2 linked regions of the Pelodiscus sinensis genome follow. The protein of the gene in region 1 binds, or shares a complex with, the protein of each later gene. Links are inferred from orthologs where the notes say so. Each region holds a gene or a part of one and is shown on either strand. Other genes may lie near its edges.

Region 1 (7,403 bases):
ATGACGGTTGATTTGTCAACTGATACTTCTATGTGTGACTCATTACATGCACTTGTTAGGAACAGCTACCTCGAAGTGGTGAAAATTCTTGAAGGTTGGGTTCCATCTATACTCTGTATTTCTTTTTGTACCAGTATATGTACATCATTGTAGCTATATACTCGTGCAAACCCCTAATTTATACATTCTCCCCTATTGTAAAGGATAATATGTACTATTGCAGTTTACCTGTAAAAGATGCACTTGTACACGTTGAAATGATTTGTAGATAGACTATGTCTGCTATCAGTCTTTGTAAATCCCAACTGGGGACATGACTACAGATCTAGGATCAAGATAGAGATCATAGTGTAAGCATAAGCTTCTCTGCCACCAAATAACCACAGGAAAACTGGAGAGTATTCTGCATAATAGAAGAGAGAGTGCACCACTTAAATAAAATGCCTCAATTATAATTAAAACAGCTGTCCTTTTGACCATTTGCAGGTTTTGACAGGAAACTTTAAAACACTTTAAAACATGTTTATATTAAATAATTGGACATTTGTAGAATGCATAGGAAAGATTGACTTTCAGAACTGTACGGCACGTTATTTTTCTGTTCTTTAAAGGTAACCTACAGAAAAGCGGGTGGAGGAAGATATGTTTTGTTTTTCTGTTTCACGTAAGAAGTGCTGAAAGATGGGGTTAGGGATGGAGATGGAGAGATGTCTTAATTTTGCTAGCTTCGGGGGTAGCCAAGTTAATCTGTACAGGAAAGAACAACAAATGGTCTGGTAGCACTTTATAGACTAACAAAACATGTCGATGGTATCATGAGCTTTCGTGGGCACAGCCCATTTCTTCAAACTCTGCTCATCTGAAGAAGTGGGCTGTGCCCACGAAAGCTCATGATACCATCGACATGTTTTGTTAGTCTATAAAGTGCTACCAGACCATTTTGTTGTTTGTTTTTTAAATTTTGCTAGGTTTTCTTAAAATGGGAATTCAAGTCTTGTCTAAGCTGGAATGCTCTGATACCTGGAGAAATAGTGAAAAGAATATCAGCAAAAAAGGAGAAGAATTTTCTAATTGCCTTTCAAAACTCTTAAACAAGTTTTACACAAGAGAAAAAATGAACTTAAATGAGTTTGAATAGAAGTCTTAGACTTAACACCCTAGGCCCTTCAATTAAGATGGTCAGTGCTCATAGTAATTTAACGCTTCCTGCTGGTCCTCTAAAAACCAGATTTCACGTTTCAGGTATTTCTAAGGTTAAGAAGGCCAAACTGCTTTTTTTTTTAAACTTGTCATAGTTCCTTTTTCATGTATTTTTGAATTATTAGATACTTCATAATTATTTTGCAGATTACTGTAAAAAAAAAATATGCCTAATAGCAACTTAAAAGGCTGCTCTCTTCCTGTGCATTGCAGTGATGAAGTTCATTTTCTATGGTTCAACCTATTTTCCACCAGTAGTAGACTGAACCATCAACACCTCTGCTTTCTCCTCTTCCCTCCCCCCCAAAAAAATAATTCTCACCTAAATAGTCTTACCATTCATAATAAAGGGAAGTATCACTGTGCAGGGAAAGAGGGGCTAAAGGAGAATTCTCACGGGTTTTGGGAGGTGAGATTTAGATTACTGTCAGGGAGGGGAGAAATGGATTTTTTTGTAACTTGGGCCCAGAAAGTGGTCATTGCAGTGGTAGCCAGAGGTCAGCTGTAGTTGCATGTCACCAAAATTAGAACCTATGGATATTACTGACTTGGTACAGCCACTTTTCCAAGGATCTTTACATCTGTTTCCCTTTCTGAATACAGTAAAGTGAAAGTGACTGAATGATCTATGATAAATGTATTTTGAGTGTCTTATTTAATATTATACGTTAAATGTTAAGTTACATACACCATTAACTTACAAGGCTACTCTAACTTCGTAGCAGATAACATTTAGTGAATTGCAAATAATTCTATTGAAGGGTTTTTGCAAGAAAACAAACTTCACAAGCTAAGCTCAAATTTGTGTTCAAAATCACTACTTTGTATTTGTACAAAATGATGCAACATGCTCATTTTTCTTCAGAAGTTAGATAAAATATGCCACTACTATGCCAAATGAGGTGATGCAGCTTTTTGAAGATCTAGGCAGCTTGCTCTTGGATATATTTTTTTTTTGTGATAAGGCCTTATTTCCTATATCTTTATTTGTATTCAGAGTTTTTAACCTCTTGGGAGACCTTGATTTTATTTTTTGTACACGGTTATGAAGATTCTTGCGCCTTCAAAAGTCTCTCCCGTCTGAGCTAGGTTGAAAAGGGAACAACCTATCTCCAAGAGGCAGTGGTAGGGAGGAGGAAATGAGTAGTCAATATTTCACTCGAGTGCATGAAACCATAAGTTTATTGGGTAGTTGACTAGCTGACTACTTGCTAATGTTCCCAGGGCAGGAGTGTTATGATGCTGTGGCCAAATGGGGGCTGGACCCCAATTGGAGGCTTTTTGGCCAGGCTTCATTTTTAAATGAAGGAAAATATTATGTCCAACAAAATGGTTTCAACATTGTCTATAATTATGGCTGCTAAGTACAAGCTTATTGGGTAGTTGAGTGGAGTATTGACTACTTACTCCCTCTCTGTAGAGGCAGCAAGGGAGGGACCAAGAGCTGGTGCTGGGTGAGCCAGCTGGCTTAAAGGCTGATTTTTCCCCAGCACCATGTCTAGGGTGCTGCCTGCCCCCTCCCCTGCCTCTATTAGAAGCAGAGGGGGGAGATAAGGGAGGCTGTTCTGGTAGCAGCCTCTGTCCATGGTGGTCCCAGCTGTGAGCTGGGCCCCCTCATCGATAGGGGCTGCTGGACTTGTGTTGGTCTGGGACACTGCCTCTGCATTTTAAATGTAGTAAGAGCCCAGTGGTCCTGCTTACGTTTAAAATGCAAAGCCGCAGGGTGGGTGGCTTCTGGAGTTGGCATGACCTGGGACTGCTCAGTGCTGGCTCCTGGAGCTACCCCTGCTGTGGCTCTGTAGACTGCCCCTTATTAACTAATCATGTAATTGATATAAATTGTATGAATTACACGATTAGCTACAACTGCAATTTAACATCCTCATCTCCCTCCCCTTCCCCCACACATCCCAACCCTCACAGCCCATCATACACATGAACTTCTTCCCCTGAGCCCCTTATTCCCTGTACATCCCCAAACTCCTGCACCTCCCCAACCCCTGCCATAAGGTTGACAGATGACAGCCTGAATGCATGCATAAAGCTGGATTTGACCAATTTCGATAAAAACATCAGAGAAATGTGCACAAAAATGCAGCAAAAAGTCCCATTAAAGTCTGTGAGTACAATATTTAATTTATGCTACTGTTAATCATGTCAATATTAAGTTGCATATTTTCAGTCATGCAAATGGGCATTCTTATACAGCTGTTTGTTGACTCTGTGTTTTGAATTTTGATGTAGTTTGGCTTTTGGTTTTGAAAATGTTGCCGACCCCTGATCTAAGGCATCCAATTAATAGATGCTGTGCTGCTAGTATATTATATCACATCCCATAAAATTCACTGTTAAATGTAAGGATCTGTATATTACAGGTCATGGTTGCTATGAATTTTTTATTACAGTCCTGGGTCCTGTCCATGCCTTTTTCTAATAAATAACCCGGATAACATTTTAGCTGACCATATTTAACAGTTCTGTACCATGCTGCCGCGGTCAGTATTGGCAGTTAGGAAAGTAGAGCAAGCTTGTGACAAAATTGCATAGTATTTCACATCTCATTAACTAAAGACTTGTTGAATCCACCACATGCCGGTCTGCCTTCATGCTGCCAGTGGCAGATAAATTAACCAGGTGAGGGATGTACAGATGCATGGCCAATTTCATACTCCCTGGAACAAGTGACATAGAATTAGCTTGGGTCGGAGCCCGCTCCCTGCCAGCCCTGGGCCGATAGAAGCGAAGGCAAAGGAACCGCGCGGGGCCTGGCCCGTAGCGGGATGTCAGTGTTGTGTGGCAATGGCAGGCAGCTGCCGGAGCCGGGGAGCCCATTGCTGAGAAGGCTGCAGCGCGGCTGGAACTTGCGAGCTCCCGGTGACTGAGACTCGCGTAGGGAATCTGGGAGGGCATCAGCCACCCAACCAATCCTACAGGCGGATTAGTCCATAGGTTCCTGGTTGGGGGGGGGGGGAGGGTGCACTACTCGCCGCTGCCACAGCAGGAGGGAGGGGGGCGCGGCCCATTGCCTGCCCCCCCCCCCTCCCTCCCTCCCGCGTAGAGCCGGGCCCGGCACGCTGACTCGGAGATGCTCACATTCCAATCCGGAGGGGCGGGGGGAGCCGCAGGGGATACGCGCAAAGGATGCCGGGAACGGCCCATATCCGGGAAGCCCTCTGCGCCAGACCCACCGAGAACATGGCGGCCCGGAACTGAGCCCCACGGGGGGTGGGGGAGGGGACGAGCTGCTACCAGCCCCGGGGACCCGAACGGCCCAGCCGCCGCCCCGCGGGCGGAGCCCAGCGCCACACGCAGCGCGCCGCTCCCCGCCACACGCGTGGGCCCGGGGCGACGCCGCCGCCGCTGCCTTGTCCCCGCAGGTAGGTCCGGCTGCCGCGGGAGGGGAGCGCGGCCTGGGGCACCCCGTGCCCGGCGGAGGCGAGGCCCTACTGGGCTGCGCAGATTGACGCGACTTCGCCGCCTCTGGGCCCGGGGCGGGTGTGGGGGGAGGTGAGCGGCGCTGCCCCCGAGTGAGCGGAGACAATACCAGCCCTTCCCCGCCCCCCACTCTCCCCGCGGAAGCCAGGCCCCGCCGCTGTGCGACCCCGCCTCCCGCAAGGGGGTTCCCTGTCTGCAGCTCCGTGCCCAGCTGTGCCTCCCTGCCCAGCCCGCTTCCCTCGCCCCGGCACAGCGCTTTGCCCCGGGGGGGGATTCCTCTCGCCGCGGATTCCCCGTGTGCTGCCCCAGCGCCTCGCCTTAGCTGGGCAGGGGCTGGGCAGCACCGACGAGAATCCACTTTGTTTCCTGGGGTGGGTGCAGGGGTCTGCAGTCGGTCTCTGCAGCTGGATTTGTTATATATTTGAACCCTGGATTAAATTTTGAAGCGTTTCTCCTTGTTCACCCAAAATAAATATGGGGAGGAGGGAGCGGAGTAATTGAAATCGTGTGTGTGAGTGATTCGAGACCCAGATCTATTCACTGTTGAGGACTGTAGGGATGGGATGGCAACATACTGAGGAGACTACCCTGGATGAGAGATCATTCCCTGAACATAATGCTCCCTTATGGCCTCTTTAGCTGTTATCGGCACTGACATCTGCAGTCAAATAGTTATAAGAAACTAGGTTGGTTAGCATACTTTCATTTAAGTGAAACCTAGTTTAATTTGTCTGTGGGTATCTCATGAGCATCTCACCATTTTAATGATTTAAATTTGATTAATGTTCACACATCAGTCTAATTTCCATCTCTAAGCATCTAGATGTCACAGATAAGGGAGAATCTAATACTTGAGCAGATGGTATTCATGCTGCTCTGAATTTTTGTATATAGGTTGAAAAATAAAGTACAACGCTGAGCTGCAGGATCAGTGACTGTCTTGTACCAAGTACAACGCTGAGCTGCAGGATCAGTGACTGTCTTGTACCAATATTTTAGAGCATAAGAAAGGCTATATAGATTCAGCTTAATGTTTCATCTAGCCCAGTATCCTGCCTTCTGGTACCAGCAACTATTAGATGTTTCAGAGGAAATGAACAGAACAACTACCAATTGATCCCTTATCATCCAGGCCCAGATTCTGGCAGTCAAAGGCATAGGGAGACAGAGTGTGGGGATTGTCCCTGATTGCTAAAAGCAAATGACAAACTTAATCTCCATGAATTTATGTAATTATTTTTTTAATTCAGTTATGTTTTTGATCAACTCAACATCCCTGGCAATGAGTTCCATAGGTTGATTGCTTGGTGTGAAGAAGTACTTTCTTATGATTGTTTAAAACCTGGTGCCTATTACTTTCATTGGGTGACCACTGGTTCTAGTGTTATGTGAAGGGATAAATAATGCTACTTCGCTTTCTCTATACAGATTGTGTTTTTTCCATTATCATATGACTTCTAAGCTAAACAGATGCAGTTTCTTTAATCTTTCCTCATATGTAAGCTGTTCCATACCCATCTTAATTGTTGTTACTCTAAGCTATACTTTTTCCAATTCTAATACTACTGTTTTGAGATGGAGCAACAAGAATTGCATGCCGTGTCAAAGGACTGGGTATATAATGGCATTATAATATTTTCTGTCTTATTTTCTGACTCTTCCCTTATGTTTCCTAAGATGGTTAGATTTTTTGACTGCTGCTGCCCTAATTGGCCTGGGGGCGGGGGGAGCATCAGGTCCTCTGCGGGCCTGATCCACCCACTTGGCAGCTGGATCTGGCCCGTGGAGGCCTTTTTGCCCACCACTGTTCTACTGGTACAATCTCAGTTGAGGAACCAGTTCAATTTGGTTTCAAAGCAATGCAGTTTTCAAGCTCATTGGTCTTTAGTCTGTCTTGCTAAGACCACCAAGAAAACATTAAATTGTATGCAACATTTAGTACATAGCATTTGTCTTCTGAGGATCTCAAAACAGTTTACAGAGTAAGTATAATTATCTCCATTTTATAGATAGGGGAAAATTCCTCAAGGGGGGAAATTCCTGGGAAAACACTTAAATCAGTAATGAATTTGTAGTGATTTTCTATCACAGTGTAAATTGACAAATGGGATTTTAAGTAGCTTACATAGTAGTGATCTGATAGTAATTATTTCTGGGTGCTATAAATTTCAACTTTGAATTAATAACCTAAATGTTCTCTTATTACTAGCCCTCCTGAGCCATCAGATAATTTTGTTCAGGGTCTTGGATAAGTTTACACTCCCAAATACCTTATTCCTGGATGATAGTGAGTTATTTTTTAGTACCTTAAAATGTAACTACATGTTCACTTTTGTAGCCAATTATTCTTTAGAGCTTTTACTGTAATCACTTGGATGCAGAAAAACTTGTTTTCCATTATGTTGGTAAGCAAAAAAAAGTCAAGCTTAGAACTGGCAGTAAGTTACCTTTGCCTTCACTTTTCTTTGGGATGTGTGTGTATTCAAACACTGCAGTCACATTTCATACATTAAAAGCAATAAGTAATAAAACTAAAGAACAAAAATCTGTTTGCTTAAGAATAATTTTAAACAGTTGTTTTAATAACTCATGGCACACTTGCTGCATTATCATATTTTAAACTATTTATTAAACTTTTGCATTTTTGAAGTATTTTTAATGTTAAAGTTGCAGTGAAGATTTACATTTCCCAAATTAAGAGTTAAGGTTACAAAGGGAAGCTAGTTAGGTACCCTTATCTCTATATGCATTACAATTTAAATGAGATA
Region 2 (7,636 bases), on another chromosome or scaffold:
TCCATTTCTTTCCTTTACATTCCTCTTTCGAAAGAAGGGTGTTGTGTAGACGCACCCCTATCGTACACAAAGCAACTGCTAGCAGTTTTTATGGGTTAGAGGGGATAAATGATCTAATTAGCCTTTAATTAACAAAATTAATTTACCTAATTAAGCTATAAAATAGAGGGTGACCCTATATTTGATTTTGTTACATTGGAATCTAGTCAGAGCTAAGGATGTTAAAGTCCGTTTAATCAACTAATCGAGTAGTCGATGGAATTTCCATCGACTACTCGATTAATCGATAAGGGGAGACCTGCAGAGCCACAGTGGGGTTAGCTCCGGGCCTTGCCTTTTAAAGTCCTGCCTGGCTCTTACTACATTTAAAAGGCAGAGATGCAGCAAGGGACCGGGTGTGTCCCGACTCACTCCTTGTCTCAGATGCTGCGTCTTTACCTCTCCTGCCCCTCCACGAAGACCTCTCCTGCCCCTCTCCTGCCCCTCCCCCTCAAGAAAGAGCCCAGTCCGTCTGTCTGTCTGTCTGCTTGGCCGCCGGAACACATGCAGCTCGGGCTGGCTGGGGCAGATTTCACAATGGCCACCTTAAAAGAGCAATGCCTGTTCTGTTCTTAAAAGGGCAGGGCAATCTTTTTTTCTTTTTCAACAAGTTTTGCTGCAAGTTTTGTTTTTCACCCCCCGCCCTCAGCTCAGTTCCTTTTTTTTTTCTCAACAAGTTTTACTGCTATTTTGGGGAGGGGGGGGAAGGGGCGTGATGCCAAAAAGTTTGGGAACCACTGGACTACAGGGAAAACCCTGGTCCCTCGACCTGAACCCAGAGTAGTGGGCGGGCCCAGATCCCCCCCAACCCTTCCTGCTTCCATGGCAGATTAACGAGGGCGTTACAATGCAGACCTCTGAAAAGTGGCGCCATCTACGAACACAGCTGCCTACCCGGAACAGATGCAGGTGGCAGGGAGTAGATCCAAGAACATTCAAACTGAAACGTGGATGTTCCATCTCTGGCTACAAACACGTTGGTGTCTCCGGAGACACTCTAAATCGATGTTTCTCAACCAGTGGTACAAGGATCCTGAGAGGTACTCGAGAGAAGTCTGGGAGGGGAACATCAACACTACTGAAATTCGGAGAAAACTGAATTTGTGTTTTAAGTTTTACAGCGCTCTCTTTTCTGTAGACTTTTTACGCTGCTCAAATTTGGAGAAAACTGAATTTGCGTTTTAAGTTTTACAGCGCTTTCTTTTCTGTAGACTTTTTACGCTGCTCAAATTTGGAGAAAACTGAATTTGCGTTTTAAGTTTTACAGCGCTTTCTTTTCTGTAGACTTTTTACGCTGCTGAAACTTGGAGAAAACTGAATCGTTGTTTTCAATTTCACAGCGTTTTACTATGGGTGTCCTTATTTGACATCCAAAAATTTCATCGCCTGCCCGGCGACGATTAAATGTTGCAACGGTAGAAAAAAAATTAAGAACATAAGAACGTCCGTACTGGGTCAGACCAAAGGTCCTTCTAGCCCAGTATCCTGTCTGCCGACAGTGGCCAGCGCCAGGTGCCCCAGAGAGGGTGGACCGAAGACAATGATCAAGCGATTTGTCTCCTGCCATCCCTCTCCAGCCTCTGACAAACAGAGGCCAAGGACACCATTGTATCCCCTGGCTAATAGCCTTTTATGGACCTAACCTCCATGAAATTATCTAGCTTCAATTTAAACTCTAATAATAGTCCTAGTCTTCACAGCCTCCTCTGGCGAGGAGTTCCACAGGTTGACTACACGCCGTGTGAAGAACTTTCTTTTATTAGTTTTAAACCTGCTACCCATTAATTTCAATTAGTGTCCTCTAGTTCTTCTATTTAGGGAACTAATAAATAACTTTTCTTTATCGGCCCTCTCTACACCACTCATGATTTTATAGACCTCTATCCTATCCCCCCTCAGTTTCCTCTTTTCGAAACTGAAAAGTCCCAGTCGTTTTAACCTCTCCTCATATGGGACCCGTTCCAAACCCCGAATCATTTTAGTTGCCCTTTTCTGAACCCTTTCCAAGGCCAAAATATCTTTTTTGAGGTGAGGAGACCACATCTGTACCTGTCTGAAATTGTGTGTCGGAAATTTTTTTTAGGGATCGCTCAGTGGTTTGAGCATGGGCCTGCTCAACCCAGGGCTGTGAGTTCAATCCTCACAGAGGCCATTTAGGGATTTGGGGCAAATATTTGTCAAGGATGGTACTTGGTCCTGCTGTGAAGGCAGAGGGCTGGACTCGATGACCTTTCAAGGTCCCTTCCAGTTCTAGGAGATAGGCAATCTCCAGTGATTTAAATTTTATTTATAAAACTGGAGGTATCGGGGATACTTATTTTTTTTTTTTTTGAAGGGGGTACTTTATAAAAAAAAAAAAGTTGAGAGACGCTGCTCTAGAGGGTGTGTCTTTGGCTAGCAACTCCCCATCTCTGGACGCCGGGATGCAGCAGCGCGCAGAAAGTGGATTTTATCGGGAGCACTTTGCTCTGATTTACCAATACGCGGCAAGCCATTAGTGGGCCAACTTTTAGAGGGCTCCAACTACCTACATGTGGCCTGCCTTGATTTCCCCCCGATCCGTCCTCGGGGCCTGTCCCAACCCACTGTGTAGCTGTGGCGTGCTGCGCTTTACCCAGCCGCCGCCACCGTCCGCTCCAGGGGTGGGTGCGTCTCCGTGGCCGGCTCAGGGATCGCTCCACAGTGGAACGAAAGCGGCCCGCCGGGCAGCAGGGTGTCCGGGAACCCCGCGCCGGCAGCGATCCGGAGGCGCTGGCCGTGGTGCTCTGCGGACGCTGTTACCTCGCAGTTGAACTCCATCTCGGCGTCCATGGTCATGATCCGCACCGTGAAGGTTTTCGGCTGCTTTCTCTTCAGGGAGCTGAAACTCATCCGCGACGCGATGGCCCCGGCCATGGTGGGGTGCCGGGAATTAGGGCAAGATCCCACTTCTCCCCTCCAACACGCTGCCCGAGGCCCGGCACCAGGGGCAGGCGGGGGGCGGGGTGAGCTGGGTCTGGTCCCCGGGGGGGCACCCTACCAGCCCCCAGTGGCTCCGGTTCGCCAACGGGGGCGGGGCGAGCGTGCAGCGGGCCTGGCCGGAGTGGGGGGGGGGCAGCCCTGCGAGACCCAGCCCGAGAGGGGGGGCAGTGGGAAGGGAGTGCAGAGGGGCTGACCCAGGGGGCTTATCCCGGGGGGGGGTCTAGCCCTGGGGAGGAAAGGGGGGGGCCTGATGGGGGTGGGAACGGGGGAGGGGGCTATGGGGGGGCTAAAGGGGGGATGGGGAGGGCGGGAGGTTATAGGGGAGGAGGGGGGGAGGGCAGAGGCGGGGGGGCTAAGGGAAGGGCGGGGGCCTATGGGGGAGGGGTTAAGAGGGGGAGGGGAGGAGGGTGGGGGGGATGTAGGGGGAGTAGAGGGGGCCTAGCTCGGGGGGGAGGGTGGGGAGGTGGGGGGAGGGGCGGGGGGCCTAGGACGGAGGGGGACTAAGGGGGGGAGGGGCTGGGGGGTCCTAGCCCGGGGGGAGGGGCGGGCGCTCCGCGGGGGGGGTCTAGCCCGGGGGGGTCTGGGGGGGTCCTAGCCCGGGGGGAGGGGCGGGCGCTCCGCGGGGGGGGGTCTAGCCCGAGGGGGGGGCCTAGCCCGGGGGGGCGGGGCGGGGGAGCTCAGAACCGGGCCCCGCGGTCCCTGCCCACCGAGCGCGGCGGGCCTCAGCTGGCGCAGCCGAACCCCAGCGCGCTCCGCCATTGGCCGCGCCCCCCCCCGGGGGCGGGGCCCCGCCCGTCCGCCCGCCCGCCTCGGCCAATCGCCAGCCCCGCCCGGCCGGCCTGGGCGCGAGCCGCTCCCCGATTGGCCGGCGGCGCTGCCACTCCGCCGCGCGCGCCCCGCCTCCCCAGCAGGCTTGGTTGAGAGGCCGCTGGAGGGGGCGGGCCTGGGCCGGGGAAGGCGTCACGCGGGCTCGCGCGCCCCCTCGCGGCGGCCTGAGCGCCTCCCGGACTCAGGCTCGATGGGCGGGGCCTGGAACTGTCAGGGCGGGGCCTGAGCCGGGCCCTGGAACACTCAGGGCGGGGTCTGAACCTGTGTGGGCGGGGCCTGGAGACATGAGGGCGGGGCCTGGAACACTCAGGGTGGGGCCTGGAGCCATCCGGGCGGGGCTTTAGATGTCAGGGCGGGGCCTGGAGAGGCCAGGGCGGGGTCTGAACCTGTGTGGGCGGGGCCAGGATCCCTCTGGGCGGGGCCTGGAGCAAGCAGGGCGGAGCCTGGAGAGGTCAGGGCGGGGTCTGAACCTGTGTGGGCGGGGTCTGGAGCCATCGGGGCGGGACCCGAGCCCCACTGCAGCACCCAAGCCCTGGCACGTGCCCATCTGCGTCAGTTTCGCTTTGGGCCTGGCGCCCCCAGACCCCACCCAAGGGACAGGGGGCAGGGAAATCCGCCCCCCCCCCCCGGTGCTTTGGCGCCCCCTGGGCTTTGCCTGTCTGCCAGTCGTCCTCCCTCGCCAGCCAATCGCTGCTGTTTCCTCTGCCTCCCCCCCCCCCCACGACCAGGAAGGATCACACCCTAAGAAATAAGTTTAACACCCCCCCATGGGGCCCGCCTCCCCCACGCCAAATCCCTCAGCCCTAGCCCCCTCCTGCAGCCCCACCCCACAGCCCACACCCCCCCAGCCAAAGCCCTCCCCCCTCCCGTAACCCGGCCCACGCTGGTGAAAACCAGTGAGTGGGGGGGGGGAAGCAAGCAAGGAATGGAGGGGGCTGGAGTGAGTGTGGGAGGGCCTTGGAGAAGGTACTGGGGCGGGGCCTCAGGAAAGGGGCGGGGCTTCAGGAAAGGGGCGGGGCCAGGTTGCCTTTTCAGCTGACAGAAAGTTGGCTGCCCTCGCTGGCCTAGCCAGAGCGGAGGCAGGTGATCTGGGGCATTGTACCTATGTGGGGGGGGGATCTAGCTGGTGGGGGGCCGCCCCCAGGAACACCATCCCATGGCCATCTCTGGGGGGGGTGAACCCCCTCTCAGTGTACTCTAGGCAGGTGGCCCAGGCAACAACTGTCTGCAGCCTGACTTGTCCTTCCCTAGAAATCTGACCCAGTCTGCACCCCCCCAGAGTCAGCCTCCTTCTGGCTCACCCTTGCAAGGTAGGGCGCGCAAATGGCCCTTCCCCGTGTAACCCCGAAATCCGCCCCACGCCGCTCCTGCGGCACAGCAAGGGAGCCCCGGCTGGAGGTGACTTGTCGGCTTAGAGGACCTTTGAAAATGAAGAATGCAGACAGCAATGCATCCTCCTGGCCGGCTGCCCGGCGCGTCTGTAGAAGTGGGGGTGGCCCATAAAATCCATATTCCGAATGACTGGAAACCGTGCCTCCTCCTTGCCAAACGGGATTAGCAATGCAGCGACCCGCACGGGGGACAACGTCTGGTTTCCTGCGTCTGGGCCTTTGCGGTGGATTTCAACAACTCCCCTTGTTTTCAGATCTTAGAAATAGCAGGAAGAGGGAGTCAGGGGTGTCCTAATGTAGCTAGAAGCCTTTTTTCCGGAAGGGGGGGTGTCATTGTTGGATATTTAACCAAGAGCGCTTTTCTCCCCGCTGCTTCGTGGGCATTTGAGTGCAGAGCTGGGATACGCTTTTCAGCACCGTGTGAATTCCCGTCCCTTTCCATCTCTGCGCTCATTTCATTTATGCTGATTTCTTTTCAATATTTTGCCCTGCCTCTCATTTAAAATATTCGAGGCCTTTTTTCAATGGGGAGGTCATCATTGGATGTTTAACCAAGAGCGTTTTTCTCCCCGCTGCTTCCTGGGCATTTGAGTGCAGAACCAGGATACGCTTTTCAGCACTGTGTGACTTCCCCTCCCTTTCCATCTCTGTGCCCATTTAATTTATGGTGATTTCTTTACATATTTTTTCCCTGCCTCTTTCATTTAAAATATTCAAGGCCTTTTTTCAATGGGTGGGGGGAGTATTGCTGGATGTTTAACCAAGAGCGCTTTTCTCCCCGCTGCTTCCTGGGCATTTGAGTGCAAAACCAGGATACGCTTTTCAGCACCGTGTGAATTCCCGTCCCTTTCCATCTCTGCGCTCATTTAATTTATGCTGATTTCTTTGAAATATTTTTGCCCTGCCTCTCTCATTTAAAATATTCGAGGCCTTTTTTCAATGGGGAGGTCATTCGTAGATGTTTAACCAAGAGTGTTTTTCTCCCTGCTGCTTCCTGGGCATTTGAGTGCAAAACCAGGATACGCTTTTCGGCACAGGGTGAATTCCCGTCCCTTTCCATCTCTGCGCCCATTTCATTTATGGCAATAGCTTTTCAATATTTTTGCCCAGCCTTTCTTATTTAAGATATTTGAGGCCTTTTTTCAATGGGGAGGTCTTCATTGGATGTTTAACCAAGAGCGTTTTTCTCCCCACACCTTCCTGGGCATTTGAGTGCAGAACCAGGATACGCTTTTCAGCGCCGGGTGAATTCCCGTCCCTTTCCATCTCTGTGCTCGTTTCATTTACGCTGATTTCTTTTTAATATTTTTGCCCCGCCGCTATTATTTAAAATATTCGAGGTGGCTTACACCATTTTTTTAAAAGCCACACTATAAATACAGATCAAATATTGTATACACATGTAGTGACCGGAGATGGGTAGGGTCAACTCCTCCGTGCTCCCCGCACATAGATTGTGTTTTCGCGGGGAGGGGGGAGACTAGAAATGACACAACCGAAAATTCAGCTGCCCTGCTCCATGGCCAAGGCGATTAACCAAGAGGTCCCAGTTCAGGACTGCAGACCAACAGGACCAAGAATGGAACTGGGTCTCTACCCCAAGGAGCGTCCAGGCAGGCGTGAGGGCGCACAGATGGGCCCCCAAAGAGACCCACCCTGCTGCTCCTATAAGGGATGTTCCTCCTTGCAGAGGGACGGGGGCTCTGGGCTCGGAGGCTGGGGCAGCCCGGGTCTGAAATAGGGGGAGATTTTACGCTTCCCTGCCTCGTCCAAGCTTAGCTGCGGCCCCAGGCGTGTGCGCTTTGGGCACGCGGTGCGCACGGAATTGCGCCCCCCGCGCAGGGATCGCGCCCTCGCGCGCCCCTTCTTCGGGCAGGGGGAGCAAAGGGGCGCGGGGGGAGGGGAGTCCCCGCCCGGACCCGCCCCCCCGGCCCGCCCCGCGCAGCGCCCGGCTGCGGCTCCGCAGCGCGAAGATGGCGACGCGGGTGTGCGGGAACCCGGCGCTGCGGCGCCTGCTGCGGGGACCCTGCGTGGCCCGGAGCGGAGCCCGGTGAGACCCGCGGCCCCGGGGCTAGCACCCCCTTCCCCCCCCGGCCACGGTGCCGTGCGCCCCCCGCGGGTCCTCCCCGGCGCCCCCGCAGCCCGGTCCCTTGTCCCCCAGTATCCCGTCCCCAGTGTACATCCCCGTCCCATCCCCGCACGTGGCCCTCCCCGGCGCCCCCGTACCCCCAACTTGTCCATCCCTGGCATCCCCATACCCATGTCCCCTGCCCCCCAAGTATGTCCATCCCTGGCACCCGTGTACCGAGAGCCCCAGCCCCCTGTCTTCCAACGTGGCCAGCCCCAGCGCCCCCTACCTCACAGCCCCAGTCTCCTGCCCCCCAGCGTCTCCATCTTCTAGTCCCTTGTACTCCTAT

Evidence for each region.
Region 2: the proteins of LATS1 (region 1) and NF2 are in contact, whole or in part, in a crystal structure (PDB 7LWH), measured with the Homo sapiens proteins. The link is inferred for Pelodiscus sinensis from reciprocal best matches to the Homo sapiens genes LATS1 and NF2. Residues at the interface, in NP_004681.1 of Homo sapiens: Pro69, Lys70, Phe71, Gly72, His74, Ala77, Leu78, Glu80, Ile81, Arg82, Ser84, Leu85, Phe88, Ala89, Asn90; in NP_000259.1 of Homo sapiens: Pro135, Glu136, Ala137, Val139, Leu140, Tyr144, Asn175, Leu176, Tyr177, Gln178, Met179, Met183, Trp184, Arg187, Trp191, Glu206, Ile210, Asp213, Leu214, Glu215.

What each region holds. Positions count from the first base shown.
Region 1 is NC_134713.1:106,440,444-106,447,846, reverse strand, and holds the start of LATS1 (serine/threonine-protein kinase LATS1), read left to right. Parts: upstream 1-4,341; 5' UTR 4,342-4,577; intron 4,578-7,403. UniProt on the Homo sapiens protein: Negative regulator of YAP1 in the Hippo signaling pathway that plays a pivotal role in organ size control and tumor suppression by restricting proliferation and promoting apoptosis.
Region 2 is NW_027465935.1:549,359-556,994, reverse strand, and holds the start of NF2 (merlin), read right to left. Parts: upstream 3,213-7,636; 5' UTR 2,935-3,212; coding exon 2,821-2,934; intron 1,095-2,820; exon of another isoform or gene 1,000-1,094; coding exon of another isoform or gene 895-999; intron 1-894. Other genes in the region: NIPSNAP1 (protein NipSnap homolog 1), read left to right, coding at 7,193-7,269. UniProt on the Homo sapiens protein: Probable regulator of the Hippo/SWH (Sav/Wts/Hpo) signaling pathway, a signaling pathway that plays a pivotal role in tumor suppression by restricting proliferation and promoting apoptosis.